7 linked regions of the Macaca fascicularis genome follow. The protein of the gene in region 1 interacts with the protein of each later gene in a pairwise test. Links are inferred from orthologs where the notes say so. Each region holds a gene or a part of one and is shown in the gene's direction. Other genes may lie near its edges.

What was found.
Region 2: the proteins of MTUS2 (region 1) and RPA1 interact in binary tests that used the Homo sapiens proteins (3 or more experiments, as listed by UniProt). The two-hybrid records come from large-scale screens. The link is inferred for Macaca fascicularis from reciprocal best matches to the Homo sapiens genes MTUS2 and RPA1.
Region 3: the proteins of MTUS2 (region 1) and C3H21orf58 interact in a two-hybrid assay, tested with the Homo sapiens proteins (3 studies listed by BioGRID and IntAct). The two-hybrid records come from large-scale screens. The link is inferred for Macaca fascicularis from reciprocal best matches to the Homo sapiens genes MTUS2 and C21orf58.
Region 4: the proteins of MTUS2 (region 1) and PKP2 interact in binary tests that used the Homo sapiens proteins (3 or more experiments, as listed by UniProt). The two-hybrid records come from large-scale screens. The link is inferred for Macaca fascicularis from reciprocal best matches to the Homo sapiens genes MTUS2 and PKP2.
Region 5: the proteins of MTUS2 (region 1) and FAM124B interact in binary tests that used the Homo sapiens proteins (3 or more experiments, as listed by UniProt). The link is inferred for Macaca fascicularis from reciprocal best matches to the Homo sapiens genes MTUS2 and FAM124B.
Region 6: the proteins of MTUS2 (region 1) and SPG7 interact in binary tests that used the Homo sapiens proteins (3 or more experiments, as listed by UniProt). The two-hybrid records come from large-scale screens. The link is inferred for Macaca fascicularis from reciprocal best matches to the Homo sapiens genes MTUS2 and SPG7.
Region 7: the proteins of MTUS2 (region 1) and DTNB interact in binary tests that used the Homo sapiens proteins (3 or more experiments, as listed by UniProt). The two-hybrid records come from large-scale screens. The link is inferred for Macaca fascicularis from reciprocal best matches to the Homo sapiens genes MTUS2 and DTNB.

What each region holds. Positions count from the first base shown.
Region 1 is NC_088391.1:9,331,526-9,335,025, forward strand, and holds part of MTUS2 (microtubule-associated tumor suppressor candidate 2), read left to right. Parts: intron 1-1,794; coding exon 1,795-1,893; intron 1,894-3,016; coding exon 3,017-3,136; intron 3,137-3,500. UniProt on the Homo sapiens protein: Binds microtubules. Together with MAPRE1 may target the microtubule depolymerase KIF2C to the plus-end of microtubules. May regulate the dynamics of microtubules at their growing distal tip.
Region 2 is NC_088390.1:1,945,412-1,949,628, forward strand, and holds the start of RPA1 (replication protein A 70 kDa DNA-binding subunit), read left to right. Parts: upstream 1-1,417; 5' UTR 1,418-1,524; coding exon 1,525-1,557; exon of another isoform or gene 1,558-1,565; intron 1,566-4,217. Other genes in the region: SMYD4 (SET and MYND domain-containing protein 4), read right to left, coding at 484-528. UniProt on the Homo sapiens protein: As part of the heterotrimeric replication protein A complex (RPA/RP-A), binds and stabilizes single-stranded DNA intermediates that form during DNA replication or upon DNA stress.
Region 3 is NC_088377.1:814,580-818,079, forward strand, and holds the end of C3H21orf58 (uncharacterized protein C21orf58 homolog), read left to right. Parts: intron 1-2,268; coding exon 2,269-2,360; intron 2,361-2,692; coding exon 2,693-2,845; 3' UTR 2,846-2,847; exon of another isoform or gene 2,848-2,986; intron 2,987-3,130; 3' UTR 3,131-3,455; downstream 3,456-3,500.
Region 4 is NC_088385.1:35,430,859-35,434,358, reverse strand, and holds part of PKP2 (plakophilin-2), read left to right. Parts: intron 1-3,342; coding exon 3,343-3,460; intron 3,461-3,500. UniProt on the Homo sapiens protein: A component of desmosome cell-cell junctions which are required for positive regulation of cellular adhesion.
Region 5 is NC_088386.1:120,349,930-120,353,933, reverse strand, and holds the start of FAM124B (protein FAM124B), read left to right. Parts: upstream 1-1,204; 5' UTR 1,205-1,541; coding exon 1,542-2,273; intron 2,274-2,804; coding exon of another isoform or gene 2,805-2,891; exon of another isoform or gene 2,892-2,985; intron 2,986-4,004.
Region 6 is NC_088394.1:85,469,362-85,472,861, forward strand, and holds part of SPG7 (mitochondrial inner membrane m-AAA protease component paraplegin), read left to right. Parts: coding exon 1-160; intron 161-3,500. UniProt on the Homo sapiens protein: Catalytic component of the m-AAA protease, a protease that plays a key role in proteostasis of inner mitochondrial membrane proteins, and which is essential for axonal and neuron development.
Region 7 is NC_088387.1:96,619,695-96,623,194, forward strand, and holds part of DTNB (dystrobrevin beta), read left to right. Parts: intron 1-104; coding exon 105-318; intron 319-3,500.

The sequences.
Region 1 (3,500 bases):
CTACTCAGGGAGCTTGCAGACCAGGGTCGTCCACCATAAGAAAGCAAGCAGTCAAGCCAGTGCTTCCCATGTTAGTGTCACTGTGTACACTTACTAGCATTCACAATATCGCCTCCCATTATTTGGCGGATGAGGCCATTTCTCTTGCCAGAACAGTCCACGGGAGGCTGGGCACGGTGGCTCACGCCTGTAATCCCAACACTCTGGGAGGCTGAGGCGGGTGGATCACTTGAGGTCAGGAGTTCAAGATCAGCCTGGGCAACATGGCGAAACCCTGTCTCTACTAAAAATACAAACATTAGCTGGGTGTGCTGGTGCGCACCTGTAGTCCCAGCTACTTGGGAGGCTGAGATGGGAGGATCCCTTGGATCCCTTGAGCCTGGGAGGTGGAGGTTCCAGTGAGCCGAGATCGTACCATTGCACTCCAGCCTGGGCAACAGAGTGAGACCCTGTCTCTCTCTCTCTCTCTTTCTCTCTCCTTCTCTCTTTTTTTGTGTGTGTGTGTATCTGTATATCTGTATACTTTTTTAGAAGAGTTAATGGGAGAGCCTAGTTTCTGTGTTTTGATATTATAGAAATGGTGCTGGGCAAAGAGCTTTGGACTGGTCTGCATGAGTGAGACATGAAGGGTGAAGCTCTCCTTGGGCATCAGCGGTCCTTTGCCAGCCTGTGGTCCTGAGAGTCATGGCGGGAGCTGAGTGGGGCAGGGTCAGTGCAGGTGCATCTGCGCTGGGAGCTGGGGAAGGGGTGCAGTGTCTCCATAGACACCCTTATATTCCTTCAACCTGCAGGTGGAGAGTGGCCAGCGGCCTGCCTAACTGGCAGGCATGGGAAGGCTAAGGGCTGGGAGCGCCAGTCTGGCCACGGGGCGGGTCTGAGCAGGGAGGAGGAGACTGTGTGGAGTTGGCTTACGTGGCAGCTCCTATCAAGGACATGCAACCCAGTCCTGAGGCCGGGAAGGCTGTGTGGGAGCCAGAGTGAAGCGGGAGTGAGAGGGAGCTGGCTGGAGGAAGGCACTGGCAGCAGGAGAGCTGGCACAAGAGGAAAGGGAGGCAGCGAGGCTGGGAGGACGCTGTGTTAGGGAGCGTGCACTGCAGCTTGAGGGCAGTGGGGTAGGAGAGAGGAGAAGGACAGGTTCCGGTTTGCACGTTAGAAAGAGTGCCTCACTACATGTAGTGTGAGGGCAAAGGAGTGATCATTCAGAAAAAAACAGGAATCGTCTCAGAAAGTAGCCAGCAGAGTGGCCGGAGCTCAGGGGAGTCTGTGGGTTCTAGGGACATTCAGGATGGCAGGACTTGATTATGGACTTCGTGATGAGAAGGTTTGGTGATGTGGGAGGGGTCCCAAGGGAGAGAAGGAAGTCAAGGAGGGCTTGAAGGGTTCTGGATTGAGCTTCCTAAATGAGAATACATCTTTGAAATACGTTCATCGTGGTCCTTCCCAAAGCCAGGGGCTGGGTGCCTCCTGGACAAGAGGCGCCTCTGAGGATTCTCTCTGAGGATTGTCTGCCTCTGTGGGATCAGAGGTTGTGAAACGCCCCCGGCTCACTGTGCTTTTGTGGTCTCTTCCTGACAGAGCACCAAGGAGGAGTGAGCCGAGGGCAGACGCGGGGGGACACCCTCCTCCATCGTGTGGCTGTGGGGGTTCCCCTTTGGCACCTCTTTCTCCAGCCCCCAGGGAAACGCTCTGAGGGTGCTCAGGGCACAGTGGTGGCCCACTGATCACAGCTGCCCAGGCTGTGGTGGCTGCTGTCTGTAGTGGCCCCAGCTGGACTCCTTGTATCATTACTTGCAGGACCAGGTGGACACGCTGACCTTCCAGAGCCAGTCTCTGCGGGACAGAGCCCGCCGCTTCGAAGAGGCCTTGAGGAGGAACACAGAGGAGCAGCTGGAGGTAGTTTTCCAGGCTTCCAGCCCCGCAGGGACCCCGCCCCAGCGAGGCCAGCGGGGCTCCCTCAGCAGTCCAGTCCCGAGACAAGGCCTCTCTGTGAATCCACTGCTGAAGTGACAGCTGGTCACGGCCTCCCCTGGATTTTTAAACAATTGCTGTCAGCACCTCTCCCCTGAGACAGACAGCAGCTGTGGGTTTCTCCAGCGACGTGTTATTTTTGCCAAATTCCGCAGCATTCCCCAGCTGGAGTCCCAGGGCTCCTGTGATAAGCATGGTCTGGAAACCCCCACCCTGGCCCGGCCACCCCTTCCAGCCCATTCTCCCGGCCCGGCCACCCCTTCCAGCCCGTTCCCCCGGCCCGGCCACCCCTTCCAGCCCGTTCTCCCGCAACTTTTTAGGCTGACGTGGGGCAGCCTTGGCTGCAGCATGCGTTAACAGGTTGAGGGGAATTTTTTCCAGAAAAGCTGGCAAAGTTCCTTCCCTCTAATGTAGGGTTGCCAAATAAAATACAGGACACCCAGTTAAATTTGAATTACAGATAAATTTTTGAGTGTAAGTCTGTCCCATGCAATACTTATACTGAATTTTTTAAAATGTCATTTATCTGAATTTGGATTTAACAGGACCTACTGTATTTTAATTTGTTACATCCAGCAGCACTACCCCAACGTGACTTTTGTCTAAAATGGCTTTTCTGCTTCTTAAACCACTTGACTCATTTCCTATGCATGGGCTCTTTACGGGCATAGGTGAGACCTGTAAGAGTCCCAGCTACCTCGTGAATCAAGTCTTCCGGGTGAATGTTAAAAGCCAGTGTTGGGTTTACTCTTTCTACCCCATGAGCTCCCTGCTGGGCATAGGCTGGCAGCACCCAGCAGTTCTGGAGTCAGACTTTCCAGTGGACGATGGCCGTGTCTCACCTGCTCCCCCACAGAACTGGATTTTAGGAGGCTTCTCAGTGGGAAACTTTATCAGGGAAGGCTGTAGCATCCTCTCTCTTTGGTGTCGCAGTTGCCATCAGGGCACTTGTCCCAGGAGGATGGATTTAGCTGGATTCGTGGTATTGGTTAATACTGGGTTTTGTCGGGAGCCCTGGTCAACAGCTCATGGCTCTCTGCCCCTGTAGATTGCATTGGCTCCTTATCAGCACTTGGAAGAAGACATGAAGAGTCTGAAGCAGGTATTAGAGATGAAGAATCAGCAAATACATGAGCAGGAAAAGAAGATTCTCGAGCTGGAAAAGCTGGTGAGTTGGTCCATTTGCTCGCGAGAGTAACTAACCTCCATGACATTCCTGCTGTCATCACTGAGGTCATCGTTGACACTGAGGTGTTCAGCCAGGTGTGTCTGTTACCTGCCCATTGCTTACACCTATGCAGAAAATCCCACCGCGGGCCTTTCCCAGGAAGCCAGGAGCTCTCATAAGGAATCTTGGAGGTGGCCTTATCTTGTCCAACTCTGGAGCCTTTCTGATGGGTGGCCTCTTTCTGCTTTGCGCTGGTTTTCCCACAGTCCTGCTGTCTCCTTGCCCTCTCTTGGGGACGTGTGGTGACCCAGCACAATGCAGCATCCCCAGTGCCCAGGCACTGCACGGAGCACTTTCCCCGAGC
Region 2 (4,217 bases), on another chromosome or scaffold:
AGATAGCTATCATCCGTGTCCTCTTAGTGTTTTTTTTTGTGCGTGAGACAGTCTTGCTCTGTCCCCCAGGCTGGAGCGCTGTGGCACGATCTCGGCTCACTGCACCCTCTGCCTCCCAGGTTCAAACAATTCTCCTGCCTCAGCCTCGGAGTAGCTGGGATTACGGAGTGCGCCACTACTCTTGGCTAATTCTTGTAGTTTTAGTAGAGATGGGGGTTTCACCATGTTGACCAGGCTGGTCTCGAACTCCTGACCTCAGGTGATCCTCCAGCCTGGGTCTCCCAAAGCGCTGGGATTACAAGTGTGAGCCACCGCGCCCGGCCTGATCCCCCTAGTTTCTCAAGTCTGAAACCTGAGACACTTCCCCAGATTTTTCTTTCTCACCCACCCCAGCAACTATTCAATTAACAGGTATTTCTCTCTCTCATATAGTTCAGCGTTCTCTTTCAACCCCCAGGTCATTCCTTCGGTTTAAGTCCTCACCATCTCGTCTGGCATTCTTCCTAGAGTGTCATAATTAGTGTCCATGCCATTGGCACCCCCCCGCAACTTTCAATCCAGCCTCCAACACTGAGACAGAAGTCAGTGCTCTGCCTTAAATTCATCAACGCTACTCCAAGCATATCAGGAAGCCCAGGACAAAACCGTCCTTACTTGACCCTTGGCTGACTTTCTAATTCTCAGGTCTCACTTGTTCCTCTGCAGCCTTGCATACTGAACTACTCATTGCGATCCCCGGCTTGCCAGGCTATTTCATCTCTCCAAGGTTTTGGCAGAGGCTATTCGTGCTTTCCGGACCAATCCTACCCTGGCTTATGGAGTCCACCTGGAAAATTCCCACAGGTTCGTTCTTCGACTCGGTTCAAACGGCACGTCCTCTGGGAAGGCTTCCCTGATTTCCAACACTCTTGGGGCCTGTACCACGTCTACCTGGCGCTGGGGCTACTCACGGCATAAAGTGCCCCCACACACTGTCCTCTTCTCCACGGACAGGGACCAGGTCTGATTCCCCTTCGGAGACCCCCCCCTCAACGGTGCCAAGCTCAGGGTTTGGCCCCGGTCGAGAAGTCAGCCCCGCGTTGCTGGAGGAACCGGGTCACTGCTGCGACTCCATTTAGCAGCTGAGGTCTCAGGGAACAGCTTTAACCTCCTCTGGGCTACCAACCCGTGCACTGGCCGGAAACCGAGGCGAGAAAGCCTCGTGAGCCCGCTCACAGGCGCCCGGAACTGGGCCGCGGACTCCCTCCCCGCGCCCGCGCAGCTCCTGGCGCGCCCCTCGGCGCCCCGCCCCGCGCCCCGTGTTCCGCGCCAGGCCTCCCTTGGGCCCGCGAGCAAGTCACGTGCGCCGCGCCTCGGCCAATGTGGCGGCTGCGCAGCGCCCGGGCCCGCCCCTGGGACGCGCGCACGTCGGGGGCGGGAGCGGCGCACGCAGCTTCTCGGGCCAATAACTGCGCAGCGCGCGGGACCCCGGTGGGGAAGCTCCAGCTGTCGCGGGGTCCGCGCGGGAGTCGGGGCGGCGGAGCCATGGTCGGCCAACTGAGCGAGGGGGCCATTGCGGTGAGGAGGTGCCGGGGGCCGGGCCGGCGGTGCGGGATGGCTGCGGCCCCGAGCCTCGCGGAGTGGAGAGGGGGAGGGGAGCCCGGGGCGACGGGGGATGAACGCGAGGGGAGGAGAAGGCGGGGGGCGGTGGGGACCCGCCGAGCCCCCGTCTAGTGTCATCACCCCCTCCTCAAAGCATTCTTCTGATCGTCTTTGAAACATGCTCACGTTTTTCCTACTTAAGAACAAAGTAAATAAACGCTTGCCTTTTTCTGGATCTTCCACCTGCGGCCACTTTCTGTTTCTTCTCCTTTCCTGCCCCGCAGCCAAACTTCTTGTCTGGTTTCAGCCACTTCCTTTCCTCGCCTCTCATCAACTCTTTAACCCACTCCAGGCATCCCCTTGATCGCTGTAGAAAACCCTGGCTCAAGGGACCAGTGTCCTCCAAGTTGCTAAATCCAGCCCTTTTCCGTTTTCAGCTTACCTGAGTTCTCAGCAGCGTTTGCTTTTGAGCCCTGCTTCTTCTGCTCACGCCCTCTTCCTTGGGTTTTAGTGGCTCAGCTTGGCGGGTCTATCCCCGTCTTATTTGCAGGCCCCTCTTTGTAAATTTTTGTTGACTCAAGGCTCCCTCTAGGCCCTCTTGACTCCCAAAGGCAATTTCTTTTTTTTTTTTTTCTTCCAGCCTGGGCGACACTCACTGTGTGAGTGTCACACTGTGTCGCCCAGGCTGGAGTGCAGTGGCGCGATCTCGGCTCACTGCAACCTCCGTCTCCCGGGTTCAAGCGATTCTCCTGCCTCAGTCTCCCGAGTAGCTGGGACTACATGTGTGCGCCACCACACTTGGCTACTTTTTTGTGTTTTTATTAGAGACAGGGTTTCATCATGTTGGCCGGGCTGATCTCGAACTCCAGACCTCCATTGTGTCGCCCGCCTCGGCCTCCCAAAATGCTGGGATTACAGGCGTGACAAATTTCTTTGTATTGAGCCACCTTTACTCTAAAAGACAAACTTCTATAATCTATCTGCTTATTCCATGCTTCAGAGGCTTTTAAGTTCAATATACATATCCCAAAGCAAATTCGTTATCTTTCTAAGTCTGGGCCTCTTGATCCCTATCTCCACGAATGGTACCATTATCTGTTCAATTCAGTGCTAACCAGAGATTGAGAAATCATTCCTCCTACATTGTCCATCACCTGGGCGTCCAGTTCCTCACCAAGCGAAGTGTATTGTACCTCCGCGTAGATCTACCAAGCCCACCGGCTTCTTTCCATCCATACTGGCACCATCTTTTTTTTTTTTTTTTTTTTGCCTGGGCTGTTCACTTCCACTCAGCATACGTTCCTGCCACCATTCCCATCCACAGCATACTCTCAGCCTACTCTCCAGTCACCCCCACATTTTTTTTTACATTTAGATTTCTGGTATTTTTCATACTCCTCCCTTCTTCCATGGGGCATTTGAACATTTTTTTTTTTGAGACGGAGTCTCGCACTGTCACCCAGGCGCCCAGGCTGGAGTGCAATGGCAGGATCTCGGCTCACTGCAAGCTCCACCTCCCGGGTTCACGCCATTCTCCTGCCTCAGCCTCCCAAGTAGCTGGGACTACAGGCGCCCGCCACCATGCCCAGCTAATTTTTTGTATTTTTAGTAGAGATGGAGTTTCACCGTGTTAGCCAGGATGGTCTCGATCTTCTGACCTCATGATCCTCCTGCCTCGGCCTCCCAAAGTGCTGGGATTACAGGCATGAGCCACCTCGCCTGGCCGAACATATGTGCCCTTGAGTATTACATTTTGTCGCTTTGTATACTTACTAGGGCTTTTCTTTTTTTTTTTTTTTTTTTAGACAGGATCTCACTCTGTTGCCCAGGCTAGAGTGCAGAGGCGCGATCTCGGCTCGTGGCAACCTCCACCTCCCGGGTTCAAGCGATTCTTTTGCCTCAGCCTCCCAATTACAGACGTGTGCCACCACGCCCAGCTAATTTTTGTATTTTTAGTAGAGACGAGGTTTTGTCATATTGGTCAGGCTGGTCTTGAACTCCTGTCTTCAAGTGATCTGCCCACCTCGGCCTCCCCAAGTCCTGGGATTACAGACTTGAGCCATTGCACCGGGCCGTAGTCTTTTTTTTTTAAATGACAGTCTCGTTTTTTGTCTCTCAGGCTAGAGTGTAGTGGTACGATCATAGCTCACTGCAACCTCTAACTCCTGGGCTCAAGTGATCCTCCCACCCTAACCTCTCGAGTAGCTGGGACTACAGGTGCATGCCACCGTGCCCAGCTAATTTTTTTTTTTTTAATTTTGTGTAGAGATGGGGTTTCACCATCTTGCCTAAGCTAGTCTCGAACTCTTGGCCTCCAAACAGTTCTCCTGCCTTGCCTCCCAAGTCTTTGGGATTATAGGCATGAGCCACTGTGCCTGGCCTTGTCCCTTAAAATGAGTTATCCATTTGTAAACAGCTGGTTTCTTTGGAGCATTGTCCCCATATACTTTTCTTTCATAAAGCATTGGTGATTTCACCCTTCTTCCACCCAAGCTTCACCTTGAATTTGGTGTTCATTGTTGCTTCCATTTTAGCAGAATTCGTGTTGCTCCCATGGGACTCTTTTCAAATTGATGTCTAATCCTTCTTAGTGCCTCACACTAGATCTTGTTCAGACACGTTATAACAAGTTAGTA
Region 3 (3,500 bases), on another chromosome or scaffold:
TGAGCCACCATGCCTGGCCTTGGCTACTTGAATATCCTTTTTTGTGAAGTGTCCATTTAAGTAATTTGCCCATTTTTCTTTCAGACTGTCTGCCTGCCTTATTGGTTTCTAGGGATTCTTTATAAGTTCTTTAATGAGTCCTTTTTTGATACATGTATTTTGAGTATTCCATCCTTCTTGTGGTTGCCTTTTCAGTCTCTTCATGGTGTCTGTGGATGAACACATTTTATTATTTATTTTTTGGGGAGACAGTATCTCGTTGTTACCCAGGCTACCCAGGCTAGAGTTCAGGGGCATGCATGATCACGGCTCCCTGCAGCCTTGAACTCCTGGGCTCAAGCGATCCTCCTACCTCAGCCTCCTGAGTAGCTGGGACTACAGGCGTGCACCACGACAACTGGCTTAGATGTTTTAGTGTTTTTTTTTTTTTTTTTTGAGATGGAGTTTCAATCTCGTCCAGGCTCGAGTGCAGTGGCACGATCTTAGCTCACTGCAACCTCTGCCTCACGGGTTCAAGCGATTCTGCCTCAGCTACTCCCAAGTAGCTGGCATTACAGGCTTGAGCCACCACGCCTGGCTAATTTTTGTATTTTTAGTAGAGACAGGGTTTTGCTTGTCTCGAACTCCTGACCACAGGTGGTCCACCCAACTGGGCCTCTCAAAGGGCTGGGATTATAGGCCTGAGCCACTGCACCAGGCCTTTTTTCTTTTTTCTTTTTTTTTTTGAGACGGAGTCTCACTCTGTCACCCAGGCTGGAGTGCAGTGGCACGATCTCAGCTCACTGCAAGCTCTGCCTCCCAGGTTCATGCCATTCTCCTGCCTCAGCCTCCCGAGTAGCTGGGACTACCAGCGCCTGTCACCACGCCCGGCTAATTTTTGTGTTTTTAGTAGAGACGGGGTTTCACCATGTTAGCCAGGATGGTCTTGATCTCCTGACCTCGTGATCCACCTGCCTTGGCCTCCCAAAGTGCTGGGATTACAGGCGTGAGCCACCGCGCCCAGCCGCTTTTTTTCTTTTGAGACGGAGTCTCGCTCTGTTGTCCAGGCTGGCGTGCACTGTCGCCATCTTAGCTCACTGCAACCTCTGCCGCTTGGGTTCAAGCAATTCTCTTGCCTCAGCCTCCCAGCTAGCTGAGATTACAGATGCCCACCACCACGCCCTGCTAATTTTTGTATTTTTAGTAGAGATGGGGTTTTGCCATGCTGACCAGGCTGGTCTCAAACTGCTGACCTCAGGTGATCCACCTGCCTCGACCTCCCAAAGTGCTGGGATTACAGGTGTGAGGCACCGTGTCTGGCTAATTTTTGTATTTTTAGTAGAGACAGGGTTTTGCCATGTTGGCTAGGCTGGTGTCGAACTCCTGACCTCAGGTGACCCACCCACCTTGGCCTCCCAATGTGCTGGGATTACAGGCGTGAGTCACTGCGCCCGGCCCATCTCATGATCCTTAATGACATCTGCAAAGACTCTTTTTCCAAATAAGGTCACACTCTGAGGTGAGGGGAGACTGAGACATGGACATGCCTTTCTGGGATCCCCACGCAGCCTGGGGGGAGGAGGCGGGAAGGCAGATGGGAGTAGCCTCCTAAGGAGCTGTGGGGCCCATCACACACCTTTCAACATGCACACCCTCTGACCTAGAGATTCCACAACTCAGAGTACACCCCGGGGACCCGCACGGTGTACAGACAGACTCAGAGCCTGCCCCGGGGAGCCGCACGGTGTACAGACAGACTCAGAGCCTGCCCCGGGGACCCGCGCGGTGTACAGACAGACTCAGAGCCTGCCCCGGGGAGCTGTACGGTGTACAGACAGACTCAGAGCCTGCCCCGGGGACCCGCACGGTGTACAGACAGACTCAGAGCCTGCCCCGGGGAGCTGTACGGTGTACAGACAGACTCAGAGCCTGCCCCGGGGACCCGCACGGTGTAGACAGACTCAGGGCACGCCCCGGGGACCCGCACGGTGTACAGACACACTCAGAGCCTGCCCCGGGGACCCACACGGTGTACAGACACACTCAGAGCCTGCCCCGGGGACCCGCGCGGTGTACAGACACACTCAGAGCCTGCCCCGGGGACCCGCACGGTGTACAGACACACTCAAAGCATGCCCCGGGGGAGCTGCACCGTGTACAGACTCAGGGCACGCCCCGGGGACCTGCACAGTGTAGACACACGTGTTCTCTGGTCCTATAACATGCTCTATCACTTTAACAAATATGAGAAACAGAAGCTTTCTTCAGGGTCCCCGTGTCTCCCTACAGACATGGTGGAGCTGCTGCTGCTGCAGAACGCACAGGTGCACCAGTTGGTCCTGCAGAACTGGATGCTCAAGGCCCTGCCCCCAGCCCTGCAGGTAGGTTCAGCCCCTAGCAGACCCCAAAGTCAAGGAAACACAGGGTCTGAGTGGTTTTTCCTCTGGAAATTTCTGCATCTGTGTAGCTCTGAAAGGGCGTTCCTGGCTCAGGTCTGCAGTCTGGCCGTGAAGCCCCCATCCCCATCGAGTCCCAGCCAGATGAGGAATGGGTTGCACAATTTGGGACTGGGGAGGGGCCTCCTCTGGAAGGATGCTTAGACCCCTGCCATCCTGCCTATCACACGGAACCCCGCCCCAGTTAGGAACAGGGCAGGAGTGGAGGTGGGGAGCAACCTGGGCCGCATCCTGAGCTGCAGGTGTGTCTGTGGCAGGACCCGCCATGTGTGCCCCCGGGGGTCCCACGAGCTGCCAGGCCAAGGCTGCCCGTCGTGCACCACCACCACCACCACCATGCTGCGTGGCCACCTGGGGCCGCCACTGTCCTCCAGCCCGCCCCCAACCCGTGGAAGCCCGGCCCACCCTGAATGTGAGTCACAGAGACCCTGGCCGGGGCACCCTCCACCCCCAGGCTTCCTCAGGGCTGTGGGCTGTGGCAGGTCCATGGAAAGGAGCAGGGGGAGACCCTGCTGCCCCCTAGAGTGGCCACGTGAGTGTGGACCGCAGGCCCCTCCGGGGGAAGCTGGGCAGGCTCGCTTTCTGGCCACAGGGCCATTCCAGGGGGCATCCCTTGCTCTGGGACCCCTGCAGTGAGGGGCCTGTGAACCCGCGCAGGGCAGCAGCCCCTCCCAGGGACCCTTCCTTTCCTGTAGTGTGGCGCCGGCCCACCTGGGAGCCTCAGGTCCCCCTCTTCCATCACGGAGGTAAAGTTGAGGCCGTGGACACTACCAGACTGATGATCCTGAAATAAAGATTTCATCCGGAAAGAGTTTAAGAAAACCTCAGCTCAGAAGCCAGAATCGGGAAGATCAATAGCTTTAGCCACATGGAATGTAAACATCCTGATGGGAAAAATACCACAAAGTCAAATTTAGTAACTAGGGACACCCGTTTATCACAGCTGTGGAGCAGACTCCCACTAAAGAAGTAGCGGTGCATGGTTCAATGCCTGTAGTCCCAGCATTTCAGAGGCTGAGGCAGGAGGATCACTTGAGCTCAGGAATTCAAGACCAGCCTGGGTCA
Region 4 (3,500 bases), on another chromosome or scaffold:
GAAATAAACACCCTGGAGTTAAACAAAGCTAAGTCATCCATCTGCAAGGTACGCAGTGGGCTTAGCCAGGAAGAAAGACCTTTTGATTTGTCAAAGCAATTTTAAACTACTGCCATTTATCCCGGCTAGAGGTTGAAAAGGCCAAGGGGAAGCTTTTAAACATATGATAACATCACATAGTTGGGGACATATGGTATTTGCAGACTGAATGAATGCTAGATGGGGTTTGCTGTGTTCTGGGCCACCCTGGGTGCAGAATAAAGAACAGCCCTCTTTTCCTGACTTTACCACTAATTTGCTGTCACTGGGAAAAGTAACGGAAGCTCTTTTGGCTTCTAGTTTTTCATGTATAAAATAAGGAGACTGGAAAAGATGCTTTTTCAGTTTCTGTCAAGCTTCTGAAGCCCCATGATTCTTAAAGGGCTCACAAAGTAGATAGAGGATCTTGGCTGAAATGATCATTTCTTTGAAAAAAGCTAAGTAAAAAAATTGTTTTATTTCCAGCTTATGAACCCATTCATTATTTTTTTTTTAATGAACAAACTGTCCAAGTTTTTCAGGTACAGTAAAAATTAATAAGGAAGTAGAAGGGTCAAATGAGAATCAGTCACATAAGAGATTTTGTTAAAAGCTTTCATTATATCAATTCAGCAGCCATTAAATTGTTAGTATATTCTTAGTTTTAGGTATGTTAGTCTTATCGCCTCAACTGTCAGGTTGAATCATGAAATTGCCATTTTTGAGGGTTAAAACAGTCGGTTTTTGTTAGTTTCCAGAGTTCAACCTATAGATGTGATCTCCCTGAAAGCAAGGTATAATATTGTGTATCTTCCTCTCATTCCCTTTAGTTTTTTTTTTTTTTTTGAGACAGAGTCTAGCTTTGTGGCCCAGGCTGGAGTGCAGTGGTACGATCTCAGCTCACTGCAAGCTCCACCTCCCGGGTTCACGCCATTCTCCTGCCTCAGCCTCCCCAGTAGCTGGGACTATAGTCATCCACCACCACGCCCGGCTAATTTTTGTTTTGTATTTTTAGTAGAGACAGGGTTTCACCATGTTAGCCAGGATGGTCTCGATCTCCTGACCTCGTGATCCACCCACCTCAGCCTCCCAAAGTGCTGGGATTACAGGCGTAAGCCACCGTGCCCAGCTCCCTTTAGTTCTTGATATAATGCTTAGGCACCTTTGTTTCTTTGACAAATATACATTGAAAGCAGTATTTTGAGGCAGAAGGCCTTTTGGAAATCACTTATATTACTTTATTTTGTTAATTTTTTAGACAGGGTCTTGCTCTGTTACCCAGGCTAGAGTGTAGTAACACAATCTCGGCTCACTGCAGCCTCACCCTCCAGGCTCAAGCAGTCTTATTCCTCAGCCTCCCAGGTAGCTGGGACTACAGGCACATGCCACCATGCCTAGCTAGTTTTTTGTATTTTTTCATAGAGACAGGGTTTAGCCATGTTGCCCAGGCTGGTCTTAAACTCCTGGGCTCAAGCAATCCTCCTGGCTTGGACTTCCAAAATGCTGGGATTACAGGTGTTAGCCACAGCTTCTGGCCTATATTATTTTATTTATTTATTTATTTATTTATTTTATTTTATTTTTATTTTTTTTTTTGAGACAGAGTCTCGCTCTGTCGCCCAGGCTGGAGTGCAGTGGCCGCATCTCAGCTCACTGCAAGCTCCGCCTCCCGGGTCTACGCCATTCTTCTGCCTCAGCCTCCCGAGTAGCTGGGACTACAGGCGCCCGCCACCTCACCCGGCTAGTTTTTGTATTTTTTTAGTAGAGACGGGATTTCACCGTATTAGCCAGGCTGGTCTCGATCTCCTGACCTTGTGATCCGCCCATCTCAGCCTCCCAAAGTGCTGGGATTACAGGCTTGAGCCACCGCGCCCGGCCGCCTATATTATTTTAAAGATGAGGAAAATAAGGCTCAAAAATGTCTCGAAGTTGCAGTTCTTTTTGATGTTCAGAATGACACTAACACATTGTAAACAAAAAGTCCTGAACATATTTTGGATATTCTACCTACCAGTAAAAGAAACTGATCTGGGCCAGACGTGGTAGCTCATGCCTGTAATCCCAGCACTTTGGGAGGCTGAGGCGGGTGGTTCACAATGTCCAGAGATCGAGACCATCCTGGCTAACCAACATGGTGAAACCCCATCTCTACTAAAAATACAAAAATTAGCTGGGCGTAGTGATGCACGCCTGTAGTCCCAGCTACTCAGGGAGGCTGAGGCAGGAGAATCGCTTGAACCCGGGAGGTGGAGGTTGCAGTGAGCTGAGATCGCGCCACTGCACTCCAGCCCTGGTGACAGAGCGAGACTCCGTCTCAAAAAAAAAAAAAAAAATCTGATACATTTTGTATGGACAGTTCTTAACAAAGTTGGGAATAGAGGTGATTCTCAAGTTTTAAAAACCTGAAGGCCCTATTTTTTTGTCATTCTTGTTGACTGAGGTATTGACACTTTTGGAAAAAAAAATATGTTTAAGTAGTTAATGCTAGTAAGAAAAACTTAATCTAAGGGAAGGTAGTAACAATAATACCAGACTATAAACATGATGTGAATCTGCACTGTAATCCCCAAATGCATTACTTTCCTGTATTTGATAAGTTTCATTTCTCAGTAAACAACTTCCAATTGTAGGTTTAGTTACTGTTTGTAGAAAGGTGTCATGACTTAGCCATATTAGAAATAGAGAAGTGTAAAGATGTTCATGGGCCATACTCTTGACTGAAGCCTTACACACTGCAGACTCTTCCATGTTTTCTGTAACATCTCTCTGCCATTTTAATGGTAAAATAATCATATTTTAGAGCATCTGATTTAATATTTGTCAATAACAGTTTATACTGAAACTTAGAAAACCACAAAGAATGTAGTCCAACACACTGTCTTTACAAATGAGGAAACTGAGGCCCAGAGCAACTTTAAATTACTTAGAGTTAAAATTAGAGCAAATTGGGACTTGGCATCCAGTATATTATAATGTCTAATGTGCCATTTGCTCTCGTTCTAGTTACAAAAACATTTGCCTCATATCCAAAACAGTCAAAATGGAGCGAAGATTAAGTAAATAATGTTTTGATCATGGTGCTTGGAGTGAAGTAGACGGAAGACTTATGACACGATTACGTGTTGTTTGGAAATATTCAGAAAGTATGTTCATAGTTGATCCTTTAGGCAGTCAGTGATTTGTTGACTGGGCAAGTCTGTCACACTTTTACATATTTGCCAGTTTCCAAACACTTGGAAGAAGCGTCAAGTAAAACTTCAAAACAAAGGCCTGTTGGATACACAGCCTAAGACTTACGGTTTTTTGCTTACTTTTTTCTGGTAGAAACATGAGTTCTGCTGGCCCTGATGGGAGAAAAGCAATGAGAAGATGTGACGGACTCATTGACTCACTGGTCCATTATGTCAGAGGAACCATTGCAGATTACCAGCCAGATGACAAGGTGATTCAAGAGATAACTATCCTGTTCTGTCTTACTAAGA
Region 5 (4,004 bases), on another chromosome or scaffold:
TATTTAGAACACATTTAGGGTGAGTGTTGTTTAGAGCTTGACAACATTCTCATTGAAGATTATTCCATTTAAGATTCAACAGCTCAAGAGTCTGCAAATCTAGATCCTTAACCAGAACTTGCTTTTGTATTTTCCTTACAAGAGGAAGAGAACCCAGGCTGGGACTTCAAGGCCCCAGAGAGGCAGTGCAGCAGGTTCCTGGGTTCAAATCTTCCCTCAGCTACTGCTTAGCTGTGTGACCTTGGGCAAGTTACTTAGCCTTTCTATGCCCCAGTTTCTTCATCAGTAATTTGGGGCTAGTAATCTCTTCTTCATAGGTTTGTTGCAAGATTAAATTAATTTACATTAAGGGCCAGGTGTGGTGACTCACACCTGTAATCTCAGCACTTTGGGAGGCCAACGTGGGCAGATCACCTGAGGTCAGGAGTTCGAGACCAATCTGACCAACATAGCAAAACCCAGTCTCTACTAAAAATACAAAAAGAAAATCAGCTGGGAGTGATAGGGCATCTGCAGTCCCAGGTACTGGGGAGGCTGAGGCAGGAGGATCTCTTGAACCTGGGAGGTGGAGGTTGCAGTGAGCCTAGATCACACCACTGCACTCCAGCCTGGGCAACAGAGCAAGACTCCATCTACAAAAAAAAAAATTTACTTTAAGAATTAGAACAGTTTATGACTGGTACATAGTAGATCCTCAATAGACACTAAAAGTTATAATTATAATTGTTAATTATAATTATTATTATAATTATATGAGCAATTATTGGAAAGCTCTCACTCTTTCTAAAGAATTTGCATGAATCAAGGAAGACTAATTTTCTCAATGTCTTTTTAGTACACTCAGAATTTTCAGTACAGCAAATAATTTTCAGTGAAGTCAAAATTATTTAGATAAAATCTTCTCTTCATGCCCTAGCAGAAAATGTTCAGAAACAAAACGAAATAAAGAGACAAAGGAAAAAAAAAAAACTGGCAAGGGGTCAAGTTTTGAGAATTGTTTTCAAGAAGTCATTGTGTTCAGATTGGTGGAGCAGGCTACTGTAAACCGTAAGTAGGAAATGAGAACCCGTTGTGGGTTGATAAAATGGATGTCTTTTCAACTAAACAGATTGCTATCAGCCCAACAGAGCCAACTCATGTTCCTTTTTGCCTGGTCACTTCCTTTACTAAGTGTCTGTAAGAGCCGCCCATTTGGGTGTTTCTCAGGATTATAGGTTTTTAGGTCATATAGAAACCCTGGGGAACGCCTGAAAAGGCTAAACACAAGCAGTTACATTATGCACAAGCTGGATGACGTGACTCCACTGCTGCTGTGTGGAGCAGAGGCTGATGAACCCGAGCTTGTGTGAGCTTCTCTTGCGGCAAGTCCAGGGGTGGCCAGGAGCACGTGTTAGTCTGGTTAAGAGCTCTGCTCAGAAGTAGCTGCTGTAGCTGAAGGTTTTCGGGTGGGCTGAAGGCTGGGCCGCTCCTTCGTTCATTTCAGAAGTTGAACAGTGAGCCTTCTACACACGCTGTCCTTGTCATCCTCAGGCAGTTCCTCCATGGATGAGACACAGGGGCCTCTGGCCATGACTGTCCATCTTCTTGCCAACTCTGGGCACGGTTCGCTTCTGCAGAGGACTCTGGACCAGCTCCTGGATTGCATTTGCCCAGAGGTCCGGCTCTTTCAGGTGTCTGAACGGGCTAGTCCTGTGAAATACTGTGAAAAGTCCCTTTCCAAGCGGTACCGGTTTCCAGGGATGTCCGTGTTGCTTTTCCTGCACAAAAGCCTGGGAGAGGATCGGCTATTTCGCGTCCTGGACTCTCTCCAGCATTCGCCATGGCAGTGCTACCCCACCCAGGACACTTGGGGAAGGCTGTGTCCCTACCTTTTTGCCAACCAGGAGTTCTACAGCCTGGACAGCCAGATGCCCATCTGGGGGGTGAGGCAGGTGCACTGTGGCTCCGAGATCCTGAGGGTGACGCTCTACTGCAGTTTTGATAACTATGAAGACGCCATCAGACTCTATGAGATGATCCTGCAGAGAGAAGCCACCTTGCAAAAGAACAATTTTTGTTTCTTCGTGCTGTATGCCACCAAGAGCTTTGCTCTGCAGCTCTCCCTGAAGCAGCTGCCCCCGGGAATGTCAGTGGACCCTAAAGAGTCTTCGGTGCTGCAGTTTAAGGTTCGAGAGATCGGCCAGTTAGTGCCTCTGCTACCCAATCCATGCATTCCCATCAGCAGCACGAGGTGGCAGACTCAGGATTACGATGGCAACAAGATTCTGCTTCAGGTATTCCTGTTTCATCTTAGATCTTGTAGAGGCTCATGGAGCTGTGTAATTTTACATTGGAATGGGCCTAAGCTAGTGGTTCTCAGACTTGGTTGCACATTAGAGTCCCTCAGGGGCTTTTTAAAATTCCCACCCCAGGCCAGTTTGATCCAAATCTCTGGGAGCATCCAAGCCTGGGTAACTTTTTTTACAGCTTCTTGGATGACTCTAATCTGTAACAGGGTTGAGAATCACTAATCTCATAAAATCTCATCCGACAGATAAGAAAGTTCAGATTCCATGAATTCGCAGCTGACACAGGTACTTTATAGTAGAATCAGACAGGATTCTACTATAAAGATCAGAATCTTTACAAAGAATCAGCCTCCTTTCTCAGGCTTGCTGTTTAAATGCCTGTTAACTATACCCATATCCTTTGCTTACTCTTTGGGCTCGAGAATGTCATAAGCTCTTCTCATCTGACCGAAGGAAGTTGAAGTCATACTTATGCTTACAGACTTTTTTTTAATTTTTAATTTTTTTATTTTTTAGAGATGGGAGTCTTCCTCTGTTGCCCAGACTGGAGTGCAGTGGTGCCGTCATAGCTCCCTGAGGTCTCCACCTTCTGGGTTCAAATGATCCTCCTGTCTTAGCCTCCTGATTAGCTGGGACTACAGGCACGTGCCGCCATATCTGGCTATTTTATTTTATTTCTAGAGACGGGATCTTACTATGTTGGCCGAGCTTGTTTAAGGATGTTAAGTTTGCAGTGCTATTGACTTAATTTTTATTTTTTATTATTATACTTGAAGTTCTGGGGTAAATGTGTGCAACGCAGGTTTGTTACATAGGTATACATGTGCCATGTTGGTTTGCTATACCCATCAACTCGTATTGACTTAATTTTTAAGCATCTTGCATCACTGTCAAATTTTACCACATACCAAGTTAGACAGAATGCTTTCTTTAAAAAATCTTGAAATTAAAGCCTTCCTTTGTAACCATCCTTGAAAACCTAACATAGCAAGTGTGTATTTAGTCACGATAGCCGCCATGCATTGCCTTTCATGGTATGTGAGCCTGGGCGCTTAGTAGCTGTATGACTGTGGTCCTCAGTTTCTTCATTAGCACAATAAAGGCACCAGATAATTTGCATCTTCCTCTCTCATTTACAGTAAATGACCTGACACTCACAAAGTACATAATTAAGATAGTGCCAATAACTCAATTTTAGCTACTATTGTTCACATTATGCCCTATACTAAGGATTTTAAATTGATAATTTTATTTAATGCTTATAACAACCTACGAAGTTACTATTTTTCCCATTTTGGAGATAAGAAAACTGAACTCTCCAGGGGGTCAGTTATTTGCCCAAGACAGGAAGTATCTATCCACCCTGAAAGTTCATGTGGTCAGCTGCTGCAGTCCAGTGTATGTGTGTAAATGTGCATACAGGGGGATGAATGTGATGTTCACAGCAAAATATCCTGTGGCTTCTGTCATTAAGAAATGGTCAGAAGCTCCTTAAGGCCTACTGGATAAAGTAATAAGAGACTACAAGATGAGATGTCTTTCCATTTGGTTAATTTTGTTGTCATCACTTTGACTTGTTAATAAAATATGAATCATACTGATTCTACATTAAATGATTTCTAAATTATTCACCTTCTTGTTCACATAAGGTAGATAGGCACTGTTTCTGTTAGTTGCCTATTATAAAACCCCATAATTTCCAAGGCACCTAAAATT
Region 6 (3,500 bases), on another chromosome or scaffold:
CGCGTGCGAAGCCTCTTCAAGGAAGCCCGAGCCCGGGCCCCCTGCATCGTCTACATCGATGAGATTGACGCGGTGGGCAAGAAGCGCTCCACCACCATGTCCGGGTTCTCCAACACGGAGGAGGAGCAGACGCTCAACCAGCTTCTGGTAGAAATGGACGGTCAGTGCTCGTGCACCCCACACCCCCAGTGCACCATCAGAGAAGGTTTTCTGATGTCTTTCAGAACAGGTTGTGGCGAGCCAAGATCGCACCACTGCACTCCGGCCTAGGTGACAGAGTGAGACTCCGTCTCAAGAAAAAAAAAAAAGAAATACAGCTTTTAGACCCAGCACAGTGGCTCACGCCTATATAATCCCAGCACTTTGGGAGGCCAAGACAGGCAGACCACGGAGGTCCGGATTTTATGAACAGCCTGGCCAACATGCTGAAACCCCATTTCTACAAAAATACAAAAATCAGCCGGGCATGATGGCGGGTGCCTGTAATCCCCGCTGCTCTGCAGCATCGCTTGAACCCGGAAGGTGGAGGTGGCAGTGAGCCGAGATCTCACCATTGCACTCCAGCCTGGGTGAGAGAGGGAGACTCCATCTCAAAAAAAAAAAAAAAGCACAACTTTTAATTTAAAAAACGTCAAGGCAATAGTAAAAAAGATAAGTAGGAATAGAAGCGGTATGTCAGATGTAATCTTTTTATTTTTTTGAGATGGAGTCTCACTCTTGTTGCCCAGGGTGAAGTACATGTCACGATCTCGGCTCACTGCAACCTCCGCCTCCCAGGTTCAAGCGATTCTCCTGCCTCAGTCTCCCAAGTAGCTGGGATTACAGGCACGTGCCACCACACCCGGCTAATTTTTGTATTTTTAGTGGAGACGAGGTTGGCCAGGCTGGTCTTCAACTCTTGACCTGAGGCGGTCGGCCTGCCGCAGCTTCCCAAAGTGCTGAGATTACAGGCATGAGCCTCGGCACCCAGCCTTTTTTTGCATTATTACTGTTTTTTAGGGGCTTTCCAGCAAAACCCAGAAAGACCGCTAGACAGGTTCTGGAGCAGCTGGTGCCGCTTCTGTCTTTAGGTCTGTAATGGGTCGGTCTGAGTGCGCGCTCCTGTCTTTAGGTCTGTAATGGGTCGGTCAGAGTGCGCGCTCCTGTCTTTAGGTCTGTAATGGGTCGGTCAGAGTGCGCGCTCCTGTGTTTAGGTCTGTAATGGGTCGGTCAGAGTGCGCGCTCCTGTCTTTAGGTCTGTAATGGGTCGGTCTGAGTGCGCGCTCCTGTCTTTAGGTCTGTAATGGGTCGGTCAGAGTGCGCGCTCCTGTGTTTAGGTCTGTAATGGGTCGGTCAGAGTGCGCGCTCCTGTGTTTAGGTCTGTAATGGGTCGGTCTGAGTGCGCGCTCCTGTCTTTAGGTCTGTAATGGGTCGGTCTGAGTGCGCGCTCCTGTCTTTAGGTCTGTAATGGGTCGGTCTGAGTGCGCGCTCCTGTCTTTAGGTCTGTAATGGGTCGGTCTGAGTGCGCGCTCCTGTCTTTAGGTCTGTAATGGGTCGGTCTGACTGCGCGCTCCTGTCTTTAGGTCTGTAATGGGTCGGTCTGACTGCGCGCTCCTGTCTTTAGGTCTGTAATGGGTCGGTCTGAGTGCGCGCTCCTGTCTTTAGGTCTGTAATGGGTCGGTCTGACTGCGCGCTCCTGTCTTTAGGTCTGTAATGGGTCGGTCTGAGTGCGCGCTCCTGTCTTTAGGTCTGTAATGGGTCGGTCTGACTGCACGCTCCTGTCTTTAGGTCTGTAATGCGTCGGTCAGAGTGCGCGCTCCTGTGTTTAGGTCTGTAATGGGTCGGTCAGAGTGCGCGCTCCTGTCTGTAGGTCTGTAATGGGTCGGTCAGAGTGCGCGCTCCTGTCTGTAGGTCTGTAATGGGTCGGTCAGAGTGCGCGCTCCTGTCTTTAGGTCTGTAATGGGTCTGTGTGATTGTGCGCGCTCCTGTCTTTAGGTCTGTAATGCGTCGGTCAGAGTGCGCGCTCCTGTGTTTAGGTCTGTAATGGGTCGGTCAGAGTGCGCGCTCCTGTGTTTAGGTCTGTAATGGGTCGGTCTGAGTGCGCGCTCCTGTCTTTAGGTCTGTAATGGGTCTGTGTGATTGTGCCGCCACGCCTCTCCCTGTGCCCCCCGAGAAGGTGAGACTCTGGTTAGAGGGCCCAGCAGAGCATCAGCGCGCTGCACTGCGGGGAGGGAGGCGCCCCACATGTTGTGACCCCTTGAAGATGACTTCTGGTCTGGCTTTGACAATTTTTTTTTTTAAATGGAGCTGACCCAGTAAAGGTGACCTGGAACTATTTTTCTCCTGACCTACTTTTGCAAGATTATTATTATTTTTTTTTAATGTGGATATTGTTGTGGTAAAATATACAGATAGCCAAGCTTGGCGGTGGCTGTGTTCCCGGCTGTTTGGGAGGCGGAGGCAGAAGGAGTGCTGGAGCCCGAGCTCGGTGGTGTACTGTGCGATGGTCTTGCCTGTGAACAGCCTCTGCACTGCAGCCTGGATAACACAGCGAGACCCTGTCTCGACAAAACAATTAAAAAAATACATTCACATAAATTTACCATTTTAATCATTCTGAAGTTCATCGGCATTAAGTACATTCGCCTGTTGAGCAACCACCACCACCGTGTGTCTCCAGAACTTTCTCTTCAAACCAAAAACCTGGCCCCATTGAGCCCTCCCCATTGTCCATCCTCAGCCCCTTGCAGCCTGTGTCCCGCTGTCTGTCTCTGAGTGACTGTCGTAGGGACCTCATAGAACTGGAGTCCTGCGGTGTCTGTCCTTTGCTCTCCGCCTTCTTTCACGCACATAACATCTCCAGGGGCCGTCAGTGCTGGGCACGTGTCAGGATTTCCTTCCTCCTTGAGGCTGAACAATGCTGCCTGCTGTGCAGAGGCTGCCTCTTGTTTATTCGCCGTCGGTGGACACGTGGGCTGTTGTGAATTGGGCTGTGTTTACATAAGTACAAGCATCTTTTGGAAGTCTCTGCTTTGTAGGGTTTATTTTTAATCAGAATTCTAGTTACGTTTTAGGTATCGTAGATGAGGGAGACTTTTTTTCCCCGAGTGATCTGGCTCCAAGAGAACTGTTGACTTGCTGTTTTCTTTGTTGCCTGTGGCTGCTTGGAGTCGTGTGTCTTAGCGCCTGCACAGCCCAGTTCTGACCACTCAGCTAAGGGGGAACTTGCTTCACCTCTCATTGCGAAATCCCTTTAGACTTACAGAAGCGTTGCCACGGTGGTCAGAGTGCTCTTTTTTTTTTTTGAGACGGAGTCTCGCTGAGTCGCCCAGGCTGGAGTGCAGTGATGTGATCTCCACTCGCTGCAAGCTCCGCCTCCCGGGTTCACGCCGTTCGCCTGCCTCAGCCTCCCGAGTAGCTGGGCTACAGGCGCCCACCACCACGCCCGGCTAATTTTTGTATTTTCAGTAGAGCGGGGTTTCACCGTGTTAGCCAGGATGGTCTCGATCTCCCGACCTCGT
Region 7 (3,500 bases), on another chromosome or scaffold:
CTTCTCTTTAAATTTAAGAACTAGTTGATAAATTTAAGATTCCTATTGTGAAGGGTAGTACCACACTTTAACATTGTTGACAGTTTATTTTCTTTGTCTTTTAGTTCATCTTGTTGATATCTGGAACATGATTGAAGCCTTCCGAGACAATGGCCTTAATACACTGGACCATACCACCGAGATCAGTGTGTCCCGCCTTGAAACTGTCATCTCCTCCATCTACTATCAGTTGAACAAGCGCCTTCCTTCTACTCACCAAATTAGTGTGGAACAATCTATCAGCCTCCTCCTCAACTTTATGATTGCTGCATATGACAGGCTAGTACCTTACCTTACATGCTTACTTCATTTTAAGAACACCTGTCTCTGAGTCATTCTTCTTGCATACTGCCTTGCTAAGGGCTGGCAACTTAGAATCACGGTTAAAAGGGAATTTATCAGCTGGATGCGGTGGCTCATGCGTGTAATCCCAGCACTTTGGGAGGCCAAGGCGGGCGGATCACAAGATTAGGAGATGGAGACCATCCTGGCCAACACGGTGAAACCCCGTCTCTACTAAAAATACAAAAAATTAGCCAGGCATGGTGGCACACGTCTATAGTCCCAGCCACTCGGGAGGCTGAGACAGGAGAATCACTTGAACCTGGGAGGCAGAGGTTGCAGTAAGCCGAGATTGCGCCACTGCACTCCAGCCTGGGCGACAGAGTAAGACTCCGTCTTAAAAACAACAACAACAACAAACAAAAAACAGGAAAATTTTTCAGTGTAAGCCCCTCTAGAAACTGGTTCACAGTGACTTACTGTCCTAGAGTATGTCGTATATTAAACTCTGGAATATTGTGGAGAATCACAATGTTTGAGATGTATTGTTTGGGAAAATTAAAGATACCTTAATACAGCTGTTCTCTAGCTCGTGAAAAATGCTAAGTTTTAAATTTGATTATGGGGCTATTTGACTTCTAAGGCTCCTCTTTCTTTTTTCTTCTATGCCTAGTTTGTTCAGAAGGCTAATCTGTACTCTGTAACATCAAATACTGGACTATAGTAACTGATTTTCTCTCTCTCTCTCTTTTTTTTTGGGACGGAGTTTCTTTCTTGTTGCCCAGGCTGAAGTGCAATGGCGTGTGAGCTCCACTCACTACTGCCTCCTGCCTTCTGGGTTCAAGAAATTCTCCTGCCTCAGCCTTCCAAGTAACTGGTATTACAGACATGCGCCACCACGCCCAGCTAATTTTGTATTTTTAGTAGAGACGGGGTTTCTCCATGTTGGTCAGGCTGATCTCGAACTCCCGACCTCTGGTGATCTGCCCACCTCGGCCTCCCAAAGTGCTGGGATTACAGGCGTGAGCCACTGCACCCGACCAAACTGATTTTCTCTTTATGTCTAGGAACCTATTTGAAATTTTTTCATTGCAGAACATAGTTTAGTAGATCTTAAAACAAAAAAAGAAAACTATTTAAATGTACTCCAATTGAAACGGACACTATTTGCTGCACTTATATTCATGGATAATTAAGTTGGTATTGTAAACAATGAAACAAAATTGTAAAGCACAGATTTTTGATTGTGGAAGTACAGAGGTTAAATGGTGATGTTCTGCGAACCAAGAGTTCTAGTTTCTGCTATACTCTTGGCCATCTGATTTGAATGGATTGTCTCTGCTTCATTTTTTGCTGTCTGTAGACCTTCTTTGAGTTCATACATTTGTAAAATGCTATTAATTATATCTTATAATAGGGAGGAGTCTGTTAATTAGTGGTAAAACTATGGAAATGTCAAAGCCAAATCAGAATTTAAGCAGTCACTAAATTCACACCATTTTTATAAGCTGTTATCAAATTAGACATTGTATCCTTTTAATAGAAAATTATTAAAGAAATTTACTTATTTTTTTGAGATGGGGTCTTGCTATGTTTCCCAGTCTGGTCTCAAGCTAGTGGGCTCAAATAGTCTTCCCTCCCCAGCCTCTCTAGTAGCTGGCATTACAGGTGTGCACCACTGTGCCCGGCAGAAATCTGAATTTTAAAAATAAGAGTGTATAAGTGATGTTAGTCCCAGAATTCTAATGCCATTTTTTAGTAATTTAAGTTAGTGACTCTATAAGTTAATTTTTTCTTGCCCAAGAACTGGCTTTTTGTTTCCAAACCCTTAGGAAACATTGTTATTCTGTGATAGGTAAGCAGCACCTTTTCATGACACTGACTCACTCAATAAATCAATTCATGGATCACACAACACAAATTAACTGAATAAACAATATTTTTTAAAGTCAGAAATAAAAACCATCTTACTCTCTAAAAATGGTCAAGCAGAGATTAAAATCTTGGATTCCGTAATTATGTCAAGTAAGTTAAATACAATGGCTCTTTAGCCTACTGGGTTGCTCTAACAAAACGCCATAAACTGGGCACTCTATCAACAACACGATTTATTTCTTACAGTTCTGGAGGCTGGGAAGTTCAAGATCAAGGTAGATTCTGTGTGTGGGGAGGGCTTGCTTTCTGGATCCTAGATGGCACCTTTTTGCGGTATCCTCACATGACAAAGGGGGCAAAGAGTTCTCTGGAACCTCTTTTATAAGGGCACTAATCCCGTTCATGAGGACACCCTCATGACCTAATCATCTTCAGAAGGTCCCACCTTCTAATACCGTACCTTGGGGGTGAGGATTTTAATGTGTGAATTTTGGGGGAATACAGACATTCAGGTTATAGCATATGGCTAAAGAGGGGAGAGGAAGGAAGAGGACAGAGATGGCAAAAAGGAGAATGGGAAGACCAAACTTAGAAGCAGAAGGTATAAGGATATCCTGGGCCATATTCAGAGAAGGATAGACACATACAGAGAGACAATGAGAATAAGTGGACAGTGAATCAGATGAAGGCAGATGTGTAGAAACACATACCGCAAATAGCTAGCAAAAAAAAAAAAAAAAAAGTTAAGAAGAGTAAGGGGTATAGTATGTTATTAGTGAGTTGGGTAATTTTTACTTTGATACGTTTAAAACATTAACCATGGTATCAGAATAAATGATCACATCTTTACTACCTTTGAAACCTTTATATGATAGAGCTTATTTGACTATCTAGAAGTTTAAAATTGACCTTCTTGTCTTGGAAGAAAAGAAAGAATCTGGTTATTAGAATGTTAATTTTGAAAACCAGGGCATTTTGTCATTAAATACTTCAAATGTTAGTCTTTTTATTGATTGGCTGCTTTATTACTTAGGCTGGAGAGTTCCTTTTATACATAGACAACCTATTTATTTATTTTAATTGAGCCTTCCAGCCTTTGTATTTCATAATTCCATAAGGTTAAAATTTGAAAGCAACAATTATTTAATCTTCTCTCATCTCCAAATTTATAGTCCCTGTGTTTGGCCAGATGATTTCTGTTTATTATAATAATAGAGTATAAGACCCTGAAACAACAGTCAGGAACAAATAGGGTCTAAGACTTTTCCTTAGTATTTTCTTAAGACCTAATTTTGTTTAATACT